Neurospora crassa OR74A: one gene and its partners. The protein of the gene in region 3 interacts with the protein of the main gene of each other region in a pairwise test. Links are inferred from orthologs where the notes say so. Each region holds a gene or a part of one and is shown on either strand. Other genes may lie near its edges.

Evidence for each region.
Region 1: the proteins of scon-3 (region 3) and scon-2 interact in a two-hybrid assay, tested with the Schizosaccharomyces pombe proteins (2 studies listed by BioGRID). The link is inferred for Neurospora crassa OR74A from reciprocal best matches to the Schizosaccharomyces pombe genes skp1 and pof1.
Region 2: the proteins of scon-3 (region 3) and NCU02587 interact in binary tests that used the Schizosaccharomyces pombe proteins (3 or more experiments, as listed by UniProt). The link is inferred for Neurospora crassa OR74A from reciprocal best matches to the Schizosaccharomyces pombe genes skp1 and pmh1.
Region 4: the proteins of scon-3 (region 3) and NCU03658 interact in binary tests that used the Schizosaccharomyces pombe proteins (3 or more experiments, as listed by UniProt). The link is inferred for Neurospora crassa OR74A from reciprocal best matches to the Schizosaccharomyces pombe genes skp1 and pof6.

Annotation. Positions count from the first base shown.
Region 1 is NC_026503.1:4,897,057-4,901,065, forward strand, and holds the start of scon-2 (sulfur controller-2 protein), read left to right. Parts: upstream 1-1,197; 5' UTR 1,198-1,718; intron 1,719-1,956; 5' UTR 1,957-2,668; coding exon 2,669-3,106; intron 3,107-3,192; coding exon 3,193-3,922; intron 3,923-3,982; coding exon 3,983-4,009. UniProt on the Schizosaccharomyces pombe protein: Probably recognizes and binds to some phosphorylated proteins and promotes their ubiquitination and degradation. Required for the inactivation of zip1 via ubiquitination.
Region 2 is NC_026501.1:2,825,182-2,828,536, reverse strand, and holds NCU02587 (RNA polymerase II transcription factor B subunit 3), read left to right. Parts: upstream 1-1,232; coding exon 1,233-2,321; 3' UTR 2,322-2,843; downstream 2,844-3,355. Other genes in the region: NCU02588 (nuclear movement protein nudC, variant 1), read right to left, coding at 21-232, 327-339. UniProt on the Schizosaccharomyces pombe protein: Acts as a component of the general transcription and DNA repair factor IIH (TFIIH or factor B), which is essential for both basal and activated transcription, and is involved in nucleotide excision repair (NER) of damaged DNA.
Region 3 is NC_026503.1:4,148,617-4,152,146, forward strand, and holds scon-3 (sulfur control-3 protein), read right to left. Parts: upstream 2,244-3,530; 5' UTR 2,037-2,243; exon of another isoform or gene 1,881-2,036; 5' UTR 1,872-1,880; coding exon 1,799-1,871; intron 1,718-1,798; coding exon 1,452-1,717; intron 1,354-1,451; coding exon 1,177-1,353; 3' UTR 515-1,176; downstream 1-514. UniProt on the Schizosaccharomyces pombe protein: Required for cig2 degradation in the G2 and M phases of the cell cycle. Together with pof6, essential for septum processing and cell separation.
Region 4 is NC_026505.1:1,994,289-1,998,532, reverse strand, and holds the start of NCU03658 (secretion pathway protein Sls2/Rcy1), read right to left. Parts: upstream 2,813-4,244; 5' UTR 2,417-2,812; coding exon 2,260-2,416; intron 2,178-2,259; coding exon 1-2,177. Other genes in the region: gh63-1 (mannosyl-oligosaccharide glucosidase, variant), read right to left, coding at 3,177-3,446, 3,506-4,244. UniProt on the Schizosaccharomyces pombe protein: Together with skp1, essential for septum processing and cell separation.

The DNA of each region.
Region 1 (4,009 bases), about 750 kb from region 3:
GTCAAGGTATCTTGTCCCAAAACGTGTGCCATCATATCCAAGACAAGCGTGGTGTGTAGCTGATATAGAATGATGTCTTTGGTGTAGCTCGACGTGCGTTTATCGAGACATTGCGACGAGAAAACACAGCACCAGAATTGTTTGCATCACGGAGGGAGAGATTTAGAGTACATTGATACAAGGTCTGAACTTACAGTGCTTATCAGGCATGGCTAGATATTATCCCTGGAGCTCCGTCAGCCTGTTTCGACATCCACAAGCCGACATGGGCTTAGGCCTTTTAAAACCCCTCGAATGTCTGGAAAGCTTCCATCATGATGAAAACGGAAGCCAGACTTGGTCACCCCGCAAAATTCCCCAGGAAAGCAACCTTGTCGTGGGTCAACATGATGGAAAGAGGCAGAAGATGCTATTCCGAGAACACCGAGGTCGAGATTGAAGCCAGAATGGAAATGTCCGTGCCGCTGACCACGGCCCGGACTGTCTCACGATGTTTATCGGGTGGATATCACGACATGGTGCCTGGATGGGATGTTGACATGCACGGGGGAGACGGGAAGGACGGGATATGTAGATAGCGTCCATTCAAGTTGGGTTAAATGGAGACGACGCTCCACATCAAGCTGTCGTCAACAGTGCGATTGGGATTGTGTGGTCTCTGGGGACTGTGGCCGCAGTGACGTTGATGTCCGTCTTCGGAGTCCTTCCTGTCGACGACATGAAGCCGCTCCAAGGTCAGTCAAGCTGAGACGGTCGAGTGATTCAAGACGACGACGGGAGGCATGCTGTGGTCAGGTTGACAGAGGAAAAGAGAGAAAGTTGATAAAATTCAAAGTCGCCATATTAGAAATCCATGCACTTGGTGGCGAAACAACAGTCTGCTTATTTTGTTTTAATAATCGTGAGACATGTGTCGTGGTGTTGATGCTGAACCTCCAATTAGGGACCTGGCTATGGCACGTGACTGGCACTGGCATCATTGAATTGAGCTACGGAGTCTTGACTGTTAGATACTTGCTGTACTGCTTTGCATAGAGTATAACAGCCAGTACATCCCCGCATTTTACAGTGGGCCCGGTGATGTCGCAATTCTGGCGACAAAGCAACAAAGCGAAAAAAACGAGGATGGGTGACTCCACTCTGTACCTGGGAGCTTCCCGCGCCCCACCCCAGTTGATTTCGCCATTTTGCCCTTCTCTTTGCGATCAAGAGCGACGGCCAATCTTGTCTCTTTCCGTCTGCAACATTTCACAGTCACACACACACAGAGAGAAGGAGCAACGAAGTCAAGACACATCCGATTTCAGGCGGTGTGAAGCAACAGCTGAGGTTCAACACCCCGTTGCGATACTGCCCGAGACTTCCACTTTGCCATTTTGGAAAGAGTGCTCTCTCTAAGGTAGTATACCTCATCCATTCCATCCGTCACCGACAGGCGACAGCCGTTCCAGAGCTGTCACTTACCTGGTATTCGGTTACATACCTACCTCTACGCTACTGTACAAAGAGGGAGCACGGGCACTCGTACCCGACACCTACAGTAGCTTCCTTCAAAGAGCAAGAGAGCAGTCACATACCTACTAGCTGCCCAGACTGAAAGGAAGAGACAGCAAGGCACCGAAAGCCGGAGAGACTAGAAGTTTGAGACATTCCACTTGGACAACAGAAGTGGAACAAGTGAACCTGGAAATAGGTCAGCAGCGGTCATCATCATCACAGTACGTAAACCACCAAAAAAGACCCTTTAAACACTTTGACTCGGATCGATGGCGACCAAGGTGCTGTGCATTGCGTGAGGTGCCACCTTGTCCCGTCCACATCCTCGCTGCTCCCGTCCTAGGTCATCCTCCAACAGACATCGATTCCTCCTTAACGTGATTGCCCTCCAAACTGCAGCTATACTGCGCTGCACCAGATAAGAGTGCACTAACACTTACACCGCACCAATAACAACAGGTCCAACAACGTGCCCACCTCCACGGCAGGGAATCAATCCTTCAACGGTCCCTCTTTCATCTCAGCTGAGCTCTTCCTGATCGCCTCCAGTCCTCCTCCCTCCCCGGGGCTCCATCTCCAATCCTCCGCCAACAACATCCAGATCCCATCACGTGTCCATCCATCCAGAAACATCAAGATCGCCAGTTGGGCTGCCCGGCATCACATCGCTGCTGTTTGTTGTCTGCGGGACCCTGCCTTCCTTCTGCTCCTCCTCCAGCTTCATCTAGACCTGCCCAACGGTGGAGCGAGTCTGGATTCCGCATTAACGAGATTGGACCTTTGAGACGGTAGACCGCCCAAACATCGACCACACCAGGGCATCCATCCATACACCTCACATCAACCAGCCCGATCACGCAAGACCACATACCCTTTCCCGCCCCAGCCTGACCGACGGGAGTACCTACTACTAGTACATACCTTGGACTGGACAGGACTGGACAGGCAGGACAGTAGTGTACAGGACAGCACTGCGATACATACAGCAGCAATCTGCGTCCCCTGGTCAGCACGCCATCCATCGCCCTCTAGCCGACCAATGCTTGGTGTTGCCTCTTCCGCCATTCAACAACAGAACCACGCAACCGCAAACGCACTCTAAATTCCCCCTCAGAACGCACAATCGCAGCGTCATTCTGGGCCCGGCGGTCCTCGACTCCCCCTTCTCCCAATGGATTCCTACCACCTCGCCCCGTCTCGTCCGACTGCGAGCTTCGGACATGATAATGACGCCCCGCTCCAACATGGGCCTCTAGTGAACTCCTACTCTCATCACCATAACAACCACTCGCGCGACACCGACTCCGATCCCACCGACCAAAACTGCGACCGCAAACGACCCGAGCAACAGGCAAGGTTGCGCTCCCGCAACAGCGTCACCAACATGTCGTCCGTCCTCATGAGCAAGACTGTCACGCCTTTCCTTCGGGAACACATTCCCAGCATCTACGCCCCCATCGGCAAGCCGGGGAACCAAGAGACGGCCAGAGCAGAGAACCCCAATTCCAAGTACTGCTATAGACACCACCCCGACTCAAAGTGCCGAAGGGCTGCCGACAAGGCCAAGATGGTCATGATTCAGAGCGAGCTAGACAAGCTCACATCAGCGGTGGGTCTTCATACAAAACATAAACATTGATTGCTTCTTGTCTCCAAGGTTTGGTGGACTGACTGGTACCTTGCTTGAAATAATAGGATCAGCAAGCTGTGACCCACGTGTGGTCCCTGTTCTCGGCCGCCCCTGCCCGACATCGCGACCTGATGCTTCAGGGTATCCTCTCCCAGCTCTGCTTCCCCCAGCTCTCCTTCGTCTCGAGAGAAGTCAACGAAGCCCTCAAGATCGACTTCATCTCCGCCCTCCCCGTCGAGCTCGCCCAAAAGGTCTTATGCTATCTCGACACCGTCAGCTTGACCAAGGCCGCCCAGGTCAGCCAGAGGTGGCGAACCCTGGCCGACTCGGATGCCGTCTGGGTCCGCATGTGCGAGCAACACGTCAACAGGAAGTGCACAAAGTGTGGATGGGGATTGCCCTTGCTGGAACGCAAGAAGCTGCGCAACTACACCAGACAAAGACAGCTGGCCAAGGGTGGGCCACAAGGGAGGGTCACAGAACTGGCCGACTCCCACGACAGCCAGGATCGATCCGTCAATCAACATGGAAAGCGCCCGGCAGCAGAGGCGGAGGAAGAGGACCCCATCAAGAAGCGCCAGTGTATGGCTGCAGCAGAAGCCTCCAAGGCGGTAACGCAACCCAAGACCCGAAGCTGGAAGGCCGTCTACCGGGATCGCTGGCAGGTCAGCTACAACTGGAAAAACAGCCGATACAAGTTGTCGGTTCTCAAGGGTCATGAGAATGGTGTCACATGTCTCCAGCTCGATGATAACATCCTTGCGACTGGATCGTACGACACCACTATCAAGATCTGTATGTGGTCTTGCTTCTTTAAACATTGGTGCTCGCTTTAAACTAACACATTGCTGACAGGGAACATTGAGACTGAGGAGTGCATTC
Region 2 (3,355 bases), on a different chromosome or scaffold from region 3:
TGGGCAAGTAGGTTGGTTACCTTGATGACGGGCTCTTGACCCTTAATACCAGCCGTAAGAGACTGCTTCTTTATCTCAACCACCATATCTTTGCCCTTTAGGTTACCAGGGACGAGGATGGTGATGTCGACGTCGCCAATCGTCTGAGTCCACTTGTAGGGGAGAGCCTCCTGCTCGGCTTGTTCCTTGGCGCGGGCAGCGGCCTCCTCGGCGGGGGTGAGCTCTGTTACGTCTGACATTGTTTGGTCAGTTGACTAGTGGGACCTGTTGATGGCGGATGGACTTTCTGGTCTTGGGAGCAAGAGGAGTTGAGCTCTAAAACGCACCTTTGTCAGCCATGTTGAAGGTGGTATTGTTGAATTCGGTGTAGATATTGGGCAACGACGGCAGCTTGGTGCAGTGGTGCAGTGGTGCAATGTGCGGTAATGTAAGTAGAAGACGATGGAACGCGCCTGAACGCGATGACCGAATTTCTGGAGGGGCAGGTAACCCGCATGGAACGGCTGCGGCCGCCCAATCCCAATCCTAGGAGCTGCCCGCGAGCGGCTGCTGTCACTGCCCTGGTAGCCCCTGCTCACCCCACGCTTGCCCGCGTCCAGTCCCCTGAGACAGAGCTGCCAGATGAGCGCGGCAGAGTGCCGTGCTGTGAATGATCTGGGAAGCCCCACCCTGCACCGCCAGGGTAGCGTCCATTGGAGCGCTGGCGCGGTTGGGGGCCAAGTGGAAACAAGGATTATTCAGCCCAAGCATAATAACTCTTATCAGTCCCTCTTTCACCACATCGTCAATCTCACTCGGGTTTCACCCAGACTTCCACTTGGTTGATTTTCATCACCTTCCCTATCCACCGTTGATACATGACTGCGTGACCCGGAATTTCTGCCTAGCCGAGCTGGCATTTTAGAACAACATTTCATCACCTAACAAGACGAGTACAAGTCCTCGTCGCCAAATCACGATCACCAAACAGATATAAAAGAAGATTTGGGCCGCGATCGCCACTCACTCACCGACACATCAAGAGACGTCCCGAGTTCTCAGATACGGACTACTGTCCCTTCGAAGGGAAACGCCCACTCCTCGCTATAATTCAGCATACATTTCTCTTGGCCATCATTTAACCTTTGGAAATCCCACTTCAGCACATCGATCCCCGTCTCCTCGAAGCGAAATTATCAAAACAACCCCCCCCCCCCCCCCCCCCCCCCCAAAAAAAAAAGAAACCACCCACCATGGCGCGCCCTCTCGACCCCCTCGGCTTCGAAGACGAAATGTGCCCCGTCTGCAAATCGCGCAAGTACCTCAACCCCGACATCGTCTTCGTCTTCAACCCCGAATGCTACCACTCCATGTGTCTCAACTGTGCCAACCGACTCTTCAACGACGGACCCAATCAATGTCCGCACGCCGGCTGCAACAAAACGCTCCGTCGCAAGGGCTTCCGCTCGGCTTTTTTCGGCGACTTGGCCGTCGAGCGCGAGGTCGACATCCGCCGTCGCGTGGCGGCGGTGTTCAACCAAGTCGAGGACGACTTTGAGACGCTCCAGGATTATAATAATTACTTGCAGATGGTGGAAGATTTGACGTTTGAACTTGTCAATGGGACGGATGAGAGGAGACGGCAGGCGGAGGCGCAATTGCAGGCATGGGAGGCGGAGCATAGGGCGGATATTGAACGGAATAAGAAGGCGGGGAGGGAGGCGGATGAGATTTCAAGAGTGAGGCTGGCAGCCGAAAGGGATGCTGTCAGGCAGAGGAGGATTGAGGCTATCAAGGAGGCGGAGGCGGAGAAAAGAGAGAGGGTGAGGAGTCGCGAAATGGAGCTGGATAACCTGGCCAAGGGAACCACTGCTATGACAGCGGAGCCGGCGACGAAGGTACAGCTAAAGAGGCGTGGGCAGGTGAATCGGGTTGCTGAAACAGCTTCCAACCCTGCCATCGCAACAACGGGAATGGGCACGGGCGCGTCGGAGGTTGAGCGTTTGTCCATCCGCGGCTTGAAGGAGAAGCCGAAGGCGCCGGCGCCACAGGGCCCGTACGACCCCTTTGGAGGCATGGACTTCGCGCCTAGTCGGTACAAGCTACATGGAGGCTTGAGTCACCCGCTTATGGAGAAGTACCGGTTGGACAGACAGCACGTTGCTGGTGGGTACAGCTTTGACGACTTTGCGGCGCGCGCCTTGTATGAAGCGTTTGCTGGGTTGGGTGTGTTTGTTGAGGATGAGAAGGAGGTCGGCAGTGGTATTGGGCTGTCACAAGAGACGAGCATGGCGGCGGGGATCGCCGCTGTGGTTGACGCGGATAAGATGGATTTGGACTGAGAGTGGTTCTGGACCGGTATGCCCCGGCCTTTTGGTTGGCGGTAATGGTGTTTTTGTTGCATAGCGACGGCGTTCACTCAGCGATTGAATATTTTTCTTTTTCCTCTCCGACGGATCTGGATTTAGGAACACACATGAGGCGGGACCAGCATCATATAGATCAACTTCAGACTCGGTGGTTTTAGAGGGCGCAAATATTCGGGTCTGCTGTGGATTTCTGGGTTCGAAATTCATTATGCGAATGGTCGCAGTCCAGCAGCCACATAAGACAGAACTTGGCGAACTGCAGTACATTCACTACTCTTTGCCACCCATCAAGCCATCTGTCTACTTGTAAGGAGTATCAAGGTCACTGAAGACCACGTTTTGTGTGAGGGATTGGGACGACGATGATGATGGAGAAAAGAAGAAGAAAAAGAAATTCAGACTAATAAGAGTGCGTCGATTGATCACAAAAATGCCCAAAAAAATATATAGATTAAGATTTACCAAACAAAAAGAGCCTCCAGGCTTCCCTACTGCAAAAATGTGTATGCCTCCCTTGCTGGCCATTCCTGGAGAGAGTGTTGGCAGCCAATCCTGAAAGTTTTGATGGTATGACCATTTATCATACCATACCTCTTTCACTCCTTTATCTCGAGATGCCCGGACCCCATTCCACCGTTTTTATGTAGCGTTCCATTCCAACTATTCTTCCCCCCTCCCCCTTGCGCTGCGCTGCTAAGCCTTGTATCTGGCCCTGCTCGTTAAGAAGCACTCGACGGCGGAAAAAAAAGCCTGATCTCTTCACAGTCAATCCTTGACTGCCTTATTGCCACCCATTTCGAAGGTACGAGCATCAAACCGCCCTGCTTACCCGAACATTGGCTGTCCTTTCGGTAGACTAAGGAGGGGCACCGTCAGAAGACTCGCGGCAACAATACCGAAAGATCAGGATTGCCGAATCGAATAACGAAGGCGGGTGAGAAAAAAGAGCTGAGCTCAAAAAATACAAAATAAAAGAAAATAAAACAAAAAGCAAAAGGAACGCCGCG
Region 3 (3,530 bases):
CGATCCTTGTTTTGGGGGAACGTAAACTTTCGGAGTACTATGCTTTCACGGCAAACATTTAGAAGGACGGTTACTGGGGGAATTAGGATCTGAAATGAGAGAAAACGTGGTGCACGAGAGTTGATTCCCATATTTGTTCTACCCATGTTCTCGGAACTGTGCTACAAAATCGGTCTATGTACCATGTCGTGTGCGCATTATATCAAGGTCTGTGACACCGAGGGGGCTTGATCAAAAGACGTGGGCAATGTCCAAATCAGCCCGCCTACGTTCCATCAACGACTTCTGTACCCTTGGCTTGTATAAAGCGAGTAAAAATGAGCCATGATATACAACTTGGGTAAGCTCCCTCCTAGTCTCTCTGCAATCTGGACCATTAGTATGTTGTTTGTGTGCATGGGCAACTCCATGCCATCCTTGCGCCTGGCCATGGTTGAGTTCAAAACGCCAAATTGTCAGTGAAAAGGGCGGTTTCTGTACCTACCTGTTTTACCGGGAGCGCTCTAGCATGGAACAATGGAGGGTAGTGTGGATGTTGGCTGACTTTTCTTTCCCCTACTCTAAGGCCCATTTCTTCCTGGTGACTCCGCGCCTTGAACCATGAATAGCTGCCACGAAACAGAGGGTCGTTGTTGCTATCATTAGACTACAGTTCACATGATGGGCGTATTAAGCGAATACGAGGTGCCAATATGTAGAGTATGTTGGTGGTAAAGGGGGCCATCATGGCAACAACACGGAACAGAATCGTGACGACGTTGTCGGCCTTTACGGTGAGGACGTTCTCAGACACGTAAGGACCTGATTCACAAACTGTATCATCATAAGAAAACCCTCGATTCAGCCTAAGAAAACAAGGAGCCGTAGAAAAAAGCTAGAGAACAACGCCTCTAAACGCCTGCCAACGCAAAGGTACGATCGAACGTACTGAGTGGAAGAGCTTCGTTTGTGGCCCTCCCAGGAATGCCCAAACCGTATCACGTCGTCGTCGAAATGCTGTCGATAACACGAGATGTGTTTGATATCCATCTCCCAACATAACAGCTCTCCCCATATCCATCAAACTCGGCTAAAGTGTGCGTTCCGGTAGACGAAGCACAGGGGTAACCTCTGTCGTTGGCAGACGGTGATCCCGGCGTTGCAAAGTGACTTGACGTGGAAACTGGTCTTGATCGGCTAACGGTCTTCCGCCCATTCGTTCTCGCGGCGAATCTGCTCCTCCTCCTCTGGAGTGAAATCATTTGTGATATTGAACGTCTTTCGAATCTCCTCAGGGGACTTGCCCTTGATCATGTTGGCAACGGTCTTGCATCCAACATCAAGGAGGGGCTTGATGTCCATGTAGTTGGCAGCCTGGATGAGGAATATGTTAGCATGATCTGACCCTGCAGAACCCGAGTGATGTTTGCATATCAAGTAGCATCGGCGGGTAGAACGAGGGAGAAACCTACGAGAATGATCTCGAAGAGCATCTCCTGGTCAACCTGCATGAACTTCTGGTCCCATTCGTCGATCTCCGTGCTCTTCTTACGGCTGTCGTTCTCGTCCTCGGTAGTCTGGGGCGGGTCCTTGCGGTGGTGCTCGCACCACTCGACAACCTTTCGGAGGACAGGCTCGTTGACGTTTGGTAGGGGAATAGCCTCGTTCATAACAGCCTCGTCGCCCAAATCCTCAATCAGGTTCTTGATGAGAAGGGATCGCTCGGCAACAACACGATCTGTGTTTGACGCCAGTTAGTCGGCTGCAGTCGCAGGGAAAGAAAAGGAGACAGGCCGGGTGGCGGGGTGATTCTACTCACCGACGGTGATGATTTGGCCATCGTTGCTCTGGAGAGATACCTTCTGGAGGGCACGTTCGTCGTTCTCCGCCATGTTGAATGTCTGTAGTCGTAGTCTTGACGTTAGAAGATACGTCGATGGATGTTGATGGGTTGAGTTGGCTGTCTATGTGATTGATGCTGGTGGTGTAAATGATGCAGAGAGGGGATAGTTCAATTGTGGGGGAAAAAGTGGGAGACGGTGTTGTCATATAGTTACCTGTTTGCGCAAATTCAAGCTCAAATGTAAAAGTGACCTTGCTCTGAGTTGCAGGAGGTTTGGCAATAATGAGAGAAGGAACGCACGCGGTGTGATTAACTGGCTGCAGTGCGTGGTTCTTATGGTTTCCCCGTGAAAGGTTGCCTGTAGTTTGCTTGGGCTAGTGATGAAAGTACAGACGGAGGTCCGCGTGAGTGCCCGTTGGCGGGCGCAGTCGGTCCTTCCAACAAACGAATCGCCTCTGCCTTCATTTTGTGGAGCCCGCTGCACGCAGTCCAATTGCGCGCACGTAAAGTGCGTGCATAGACCACCTAGCAATCCTGGCGCGGCCCCTCAGCTCGTCAGCCTTCTTGGGTTGAAATATAATGGGGTTGGGTGGTCAGTGCCCAGGCCCTGCCTGGAGAGACGGATGGACTTGCTCCAACACGGAAGACGCAGAAACGCTCTGGAGAGAGAACCTGACCGTTCACGTGCCGTTCCATGTACTAACCTTTGGCACCACGCAGCTCCCATCAACGGAACGATGGGACATTTGCACACCAGTGATTAGATGTAGTATTTTGAGTCACGAAGAGACGATGTGGGGACCGTCGTTGGCGTGATCTGGGGACATTCGAAGCTACAGATGTCTTCATGCTTGCAATATACACAAAGCATTGCATTGGATAGTAAAAATAATCAAAGACCGGCACATTCCACGTACACACGAATTAGGTTCATTGACAGCTGACTACATGCGGTTTCCCACACGGGGACTATGCGTTTTTCCAGATGCTTTATATTCACTATGTATGTTCCGGCTTAGGATGATACGCCCGCACGCCCGGTAGATTTTACCCACGCTTGTAAGTTGGATGTCGGGATGTCAATAGCTTCAGTTGGAAAAGCTCCTAGATGAAGTATATACATGATGGACAACTACATAATGGTACCCAAAATTGTCCTCTGCTACTCTGGCTTTTGTTGCTATCTTGCATCATTGATACGGATTGTCAAGTAAAGGAATGCAGCTTGAATGTGACAAAAGCTGCGGTACCTCCCGTCCAACGAGCACAGAAAATCAAACTTCCGTGGGAGGAAGGACAAGGGGTCAACATGAGGGCCTATCAATATTCAAGGCCGCTTTGCTGGAGATTTATTTCACACTAACAGACCAGGACATCTTTTGCTTACCATCTGTCCGTATCGCAGTATGATGTACATTCAGATCACGAAGGCGAAATGTCAAGATTCCAAAGCTGTGTCCCGGCGCGAATATAGGTACAAATAAAGCTGTACATACATACTATGTAACTCGTCATTCATCCATGGTCCGGCTCGCGCAGATCGACCAGTTGCTGCACCCGTGCGGGAGGAAATTACCAAAGTACCTAGACTCGCGCCAACGACGCCAACGAGCCTGCCGACTGGCCCGAATGCGGAGGCGGGCTATAGACAGACTACCCCTTCTCCCTATATCTAGACTACTTAACCACTTAGGGCATGGTTCTAAGG
Region 4 (4,244 bases), on a different chromosome or scaffold from region 3:
GCGGTCCGCGATCTTGGGTGTGGTGAGCTGTTGCTCGTAGAAGACGTCGATCATCTGCGAGATCAGGTCTCCGACGTTGACGAGTTCGATGAAGGTCACCAGAGGCGCCACCCCGCCCTTGTCATGATGGGAGACCTCGCGCGGATTGTATTGCGAAAGATGGGCGACTGCCTTGTCGAAACCGGGCTTAATGTGACGGCTGCCGAGAATGCGGAGCAAAGCGACGAATATGGCCTCGCATTGCTCGCGAGCTTCGCCGCCAGCTTGTCCGCCGAGTTGAATGAAGACAGCGGCGCGGCCGAGACTGGATTTGGCCATGTGGACGAGACTGAGGGCAATTTCGATGCTGAAGAGGGACTTGATTCCCTCTAGTCTGGACGTCATTAGCGCAGCCTTTGCTGCTAGTTCATCCGTGGGGGCCTTGTCCGGCAAGGGACTTCCTGTACGATCAACAGTTACTGGCGCCGCCAGACTAGGAGAGACTGGATGAGACTGCTCAGGGTTTTCCGGCGCTTGTAGCTCGCCGCCGTTCGCTGCTGCTGTCGTGGCTGTCGTAGGGGTTGTGGCAGGCTTTGAAGCAAACGGCGACCCTAACGGCAAACTTGGCAGAGCCGACACGGGCATCATGACCACTTTTTTGAACGACGTCAAGAAGTCCTTCTTATCCGCCTGCCTGTTGGTGAAGCTGCCCATGTAGAACGATTCCGCAGTAGCATCCTGCTCCGACAGCTTCTTCTCCCACTCTCCCACCTCCGCCTCCGCCTGCTGGGTAAAGTAATCCAACTCATCCGCCAGATAAAGATCTAAATGCTGCTCAAACACTTTGAGCGCATATTCCTTTGCCAGCTCCTCCTGCTCCTTCGCGTTCTTCTCGTTCTTCGGTGCATTTACCGTCCTAAAGAACTGCAACGTCTGCTCAAACAGACCAGAAACGGCCTTCACATACGCCGCCAGGCTCCTCTCGTGCGTCTCGTCAAACAACGGCGTCACGTAATCCGTCAAGATATCATCCCTGATTTTCCCCATCAATAACCAAAACACCTCGGCCGGCTTCGGAAACACTCGCTGGATGATATCCGCCTGCTCATTGACCTTGGCCGTCAACACCTCAAAGAACCGCCTCGACGGCTCTAGCGTAACATCGTCTGCCAGCGCCTGATTGACGCAATCCATTGGGTTCGCCAATACCTCCTTATCCGTGAAGATCGGATGTTTATGGATAAACAGCTCCACCGCCGCCGTCCCGCCGTTCAGCAGATCCAATACGTGCGCATACTTGTGCATCCTCCCATCGACGTCCCAAAACTCGTAACCCGTCTCAAACTCGTGCAGCACCGCGCTCTCGAAGATGCCCGCCATGGTCGCCAGCTTCTCCTCGCGCTGCCGCCAGCCAGCGGCCCAGTCGGACTTGGCAAACGTCCGCAGGTTGGCCAACATCTGTGCTTGCCGCTCCGGATCCCGAAACACGCGAAAGACGACCGGGTCGGTGTGCGATTTCGCTTTGGCCAGGTCAAAGTAGAACGGTGCTAGCGCGCCGTAAATCTTGCCATACTCTTGTCGGGCGTGGCCGCGGATGGAACGGGCGTTTTTGATCACGTTCAATAACGCTTCGGGGTCCGAAAAGGGGTCTTTTTGCGGCGCCGTCGGTAGCAGTCCCCCTTGTCCTCCGCCCACTTTCATCGTCTCAAACCCATCCTGCAACCCTTCCATCTCCTCCATCGCCCTTCTCTGCGCCGCCGCCTGAATCGCCTCCTCCCTTTTTTTCTGCTCTTCCGCGATCCTCTTCCTCCTCAGCTCCTCCTCGCCTGCATCGAACAGGGTCGTCGTTATCACCGGCGGCGGCGTTGGGTACTGTTGTTGCAATCCAGGAAACAGCTCCAGTGATTGTCCAGGAAACGGCTGTCCTCTCCCTATTGGCATTGATCCTCCTGTTGTGCCCGTTGCTGCAGCAGCGGCAGCGAGTCGTTCCCGCTCCGCCCGTTCGGCGGCTTCGCGCCGTCGCTTCATTACTTCCTCGAACCGCCGCCGCGCTTCCGCTTCGTCCCACACCCCCATAGAGCGCAGGCGGGCAACCCAGCGGGTGTCGTCGTAGACCATCTCGCGCATGCGGCGGGAGGTGCGGGCGAAGCGGAGGAGGTCGGAGACGGGGAGGTAATCGAGGATCGTGACGAGGATTTCTACGAGTATCGACGTATTTGTTAGCTGGTATTGGAAAAAAAAAAAGAGTGCTTTGGGGGTAGCAGAGGATAGGTGGCATACCGGCTGGTAATACTGGCTTGGTATCAATCATTGTGGTCGCTCGGAGGGCGTTCAAGATGCTGCCGTTCTTGCTGTGGCCGCCTCCTGCCATCATCGCTGACGAAGATGTGGACTTTGGCCCGGCACCAGCCATGGAGGCCCTTTTGAAGTTGGACATGGTGTTGTGATGGTGTCTCGGTCCGTGAATATCGTTGTTGTATTGTAGTAGCTAGCTAACTGTAGTCCGATGTTGGTATTGCTGTTGCTGATGTTCGAGGCGGTGGTGTCGTGAACGGATGGTGTATGTAGGTAGTAGAGGTAGTTCAAGGCGGGACGTATCGTAGATTCATGCTGCTGCCGGGCAGAAAGATGTTGGAAAAATCGTTGCCCTCGTTGTAGGCCGCCCCGCCGTCGTGAGATGCAATACTACCGATACGAGGATTCGTGATCGGTCGATTGGACAGCATTGAACAGCATGCCAGCTCCGTAGTTGTCAACAGAAAGGCGGAATGGAAAGCAGCAGTCCAGGGCAGGTTGGATCGATACGACGAAAGGCCGTGGTCCCATGTTGATGCCCGCACCTGGGCTTATCACGTAACTGTAACTTCAGAGTCAGGGGTTGCCTCGCGGGGCTCCGGAGCAAAGAGCTACATTGGGCCAAATATAGCACCCTTTTACAGCAGAGTAAGGGTCCCGGGTTAGGGTTGTATGTGGCAAACACCAAACTGCGCCACCCCCTGACTACCTACACACGCACAAGTCTGAACAAGACAATATCCAAACAAAGAACAACCGACAATGGCACGTAGTTAAGCGGTCATGTCCATCGATACAGTGATATTTCTTAAAGTCATGTCAGACCTTGTCATCGCCTCTATTTACAACTTCGGTATGTCGTTTCTAGCGATGTAGCCTGATTAGACGACAGCTCAATTTCATCATAGCTCGTCCTTGACGTACTGTGATTCAACCGGGGCCACTGGGGCAGCCTCGGGCAGGTCCTCCATGGCTAGGATCTTGACCACCAAGCTGGTCCAGCCGGTGAAGTGCTGTGTACGCTGACCCTTGCCCGTTTCCGGGTTGTACTGTTCCCACGCAAAGCCCGTTTCCTCCCAGCTGTTGTAGATGGTTTCGACAACGTTCTTGCGCAGTCTTTGATACATGTCGCGGGCCGTCTCTTGGTAGGGCCCTTCTTGGGTTGCAAGGTTCTAGTGGGTGTCAGCATGCCGCTTTAGCTCAATTTATGGTTAAGGAACAGTCAACTTACGTGAAGCTGGGTAATGATAAGGTAGTTGATGTTGATCCAGATGGGACTTCTCCAGTAATTCTCGGCAGTGCCGTAGTTCTCATCCTTCTTGCTCAAGCTGCGGATGCCATAAGGGCTCCATAGCTCCTCCTCATCACCAATAAGGGCCAGAATCTTGCCGAGCTTAGGGCTATCGGGCTTCAACAGGCCAGTCAGGAATGGGGAGAGGGAGATGTATCCCTTGTGGCACACGAGTTGGTGCTCCTCAAACTCATCAATGGTGGCATCGCAGTAGCAGCCGTCCTTCTCAGACCAGTGCAGGTCATCAAGATTGTGCTCGATTCCGTCGAGAACCTTTGTGTAATCCTCAACCTCCTCGGGCGCAATGACTTCGGCGGCGTTGGCCAGCGACTTAGCCATTAGGCCAACCCACGACATGAGGTCGACATGGAGCTCACCAGGGTGAGGTGGCTGAGGGCGAGGGTAGTCGTCCAAGCCACTAGTCAAGCAGTGCGTGAGGGTGCGGCCGCGCCACCTATAAGCCTCACGGGAGGAATAGGCGTCGCGATCGTAGGACTTGATGTCACCGTACTGTGTCTTCTTGAACCAGTAGAACTGGCGGCGAAGAAGCGGGTAGAGGCGGCGGAGATACTCGAGTCCTACCTCAACGTTGTCGATAGACGCACTGGAAAGAGAGACGCCTTGGGAGAGGTGTTCTTTAACAGCAGGCATGGTGCCATTAGCGTTGCGCAGCCTGTTG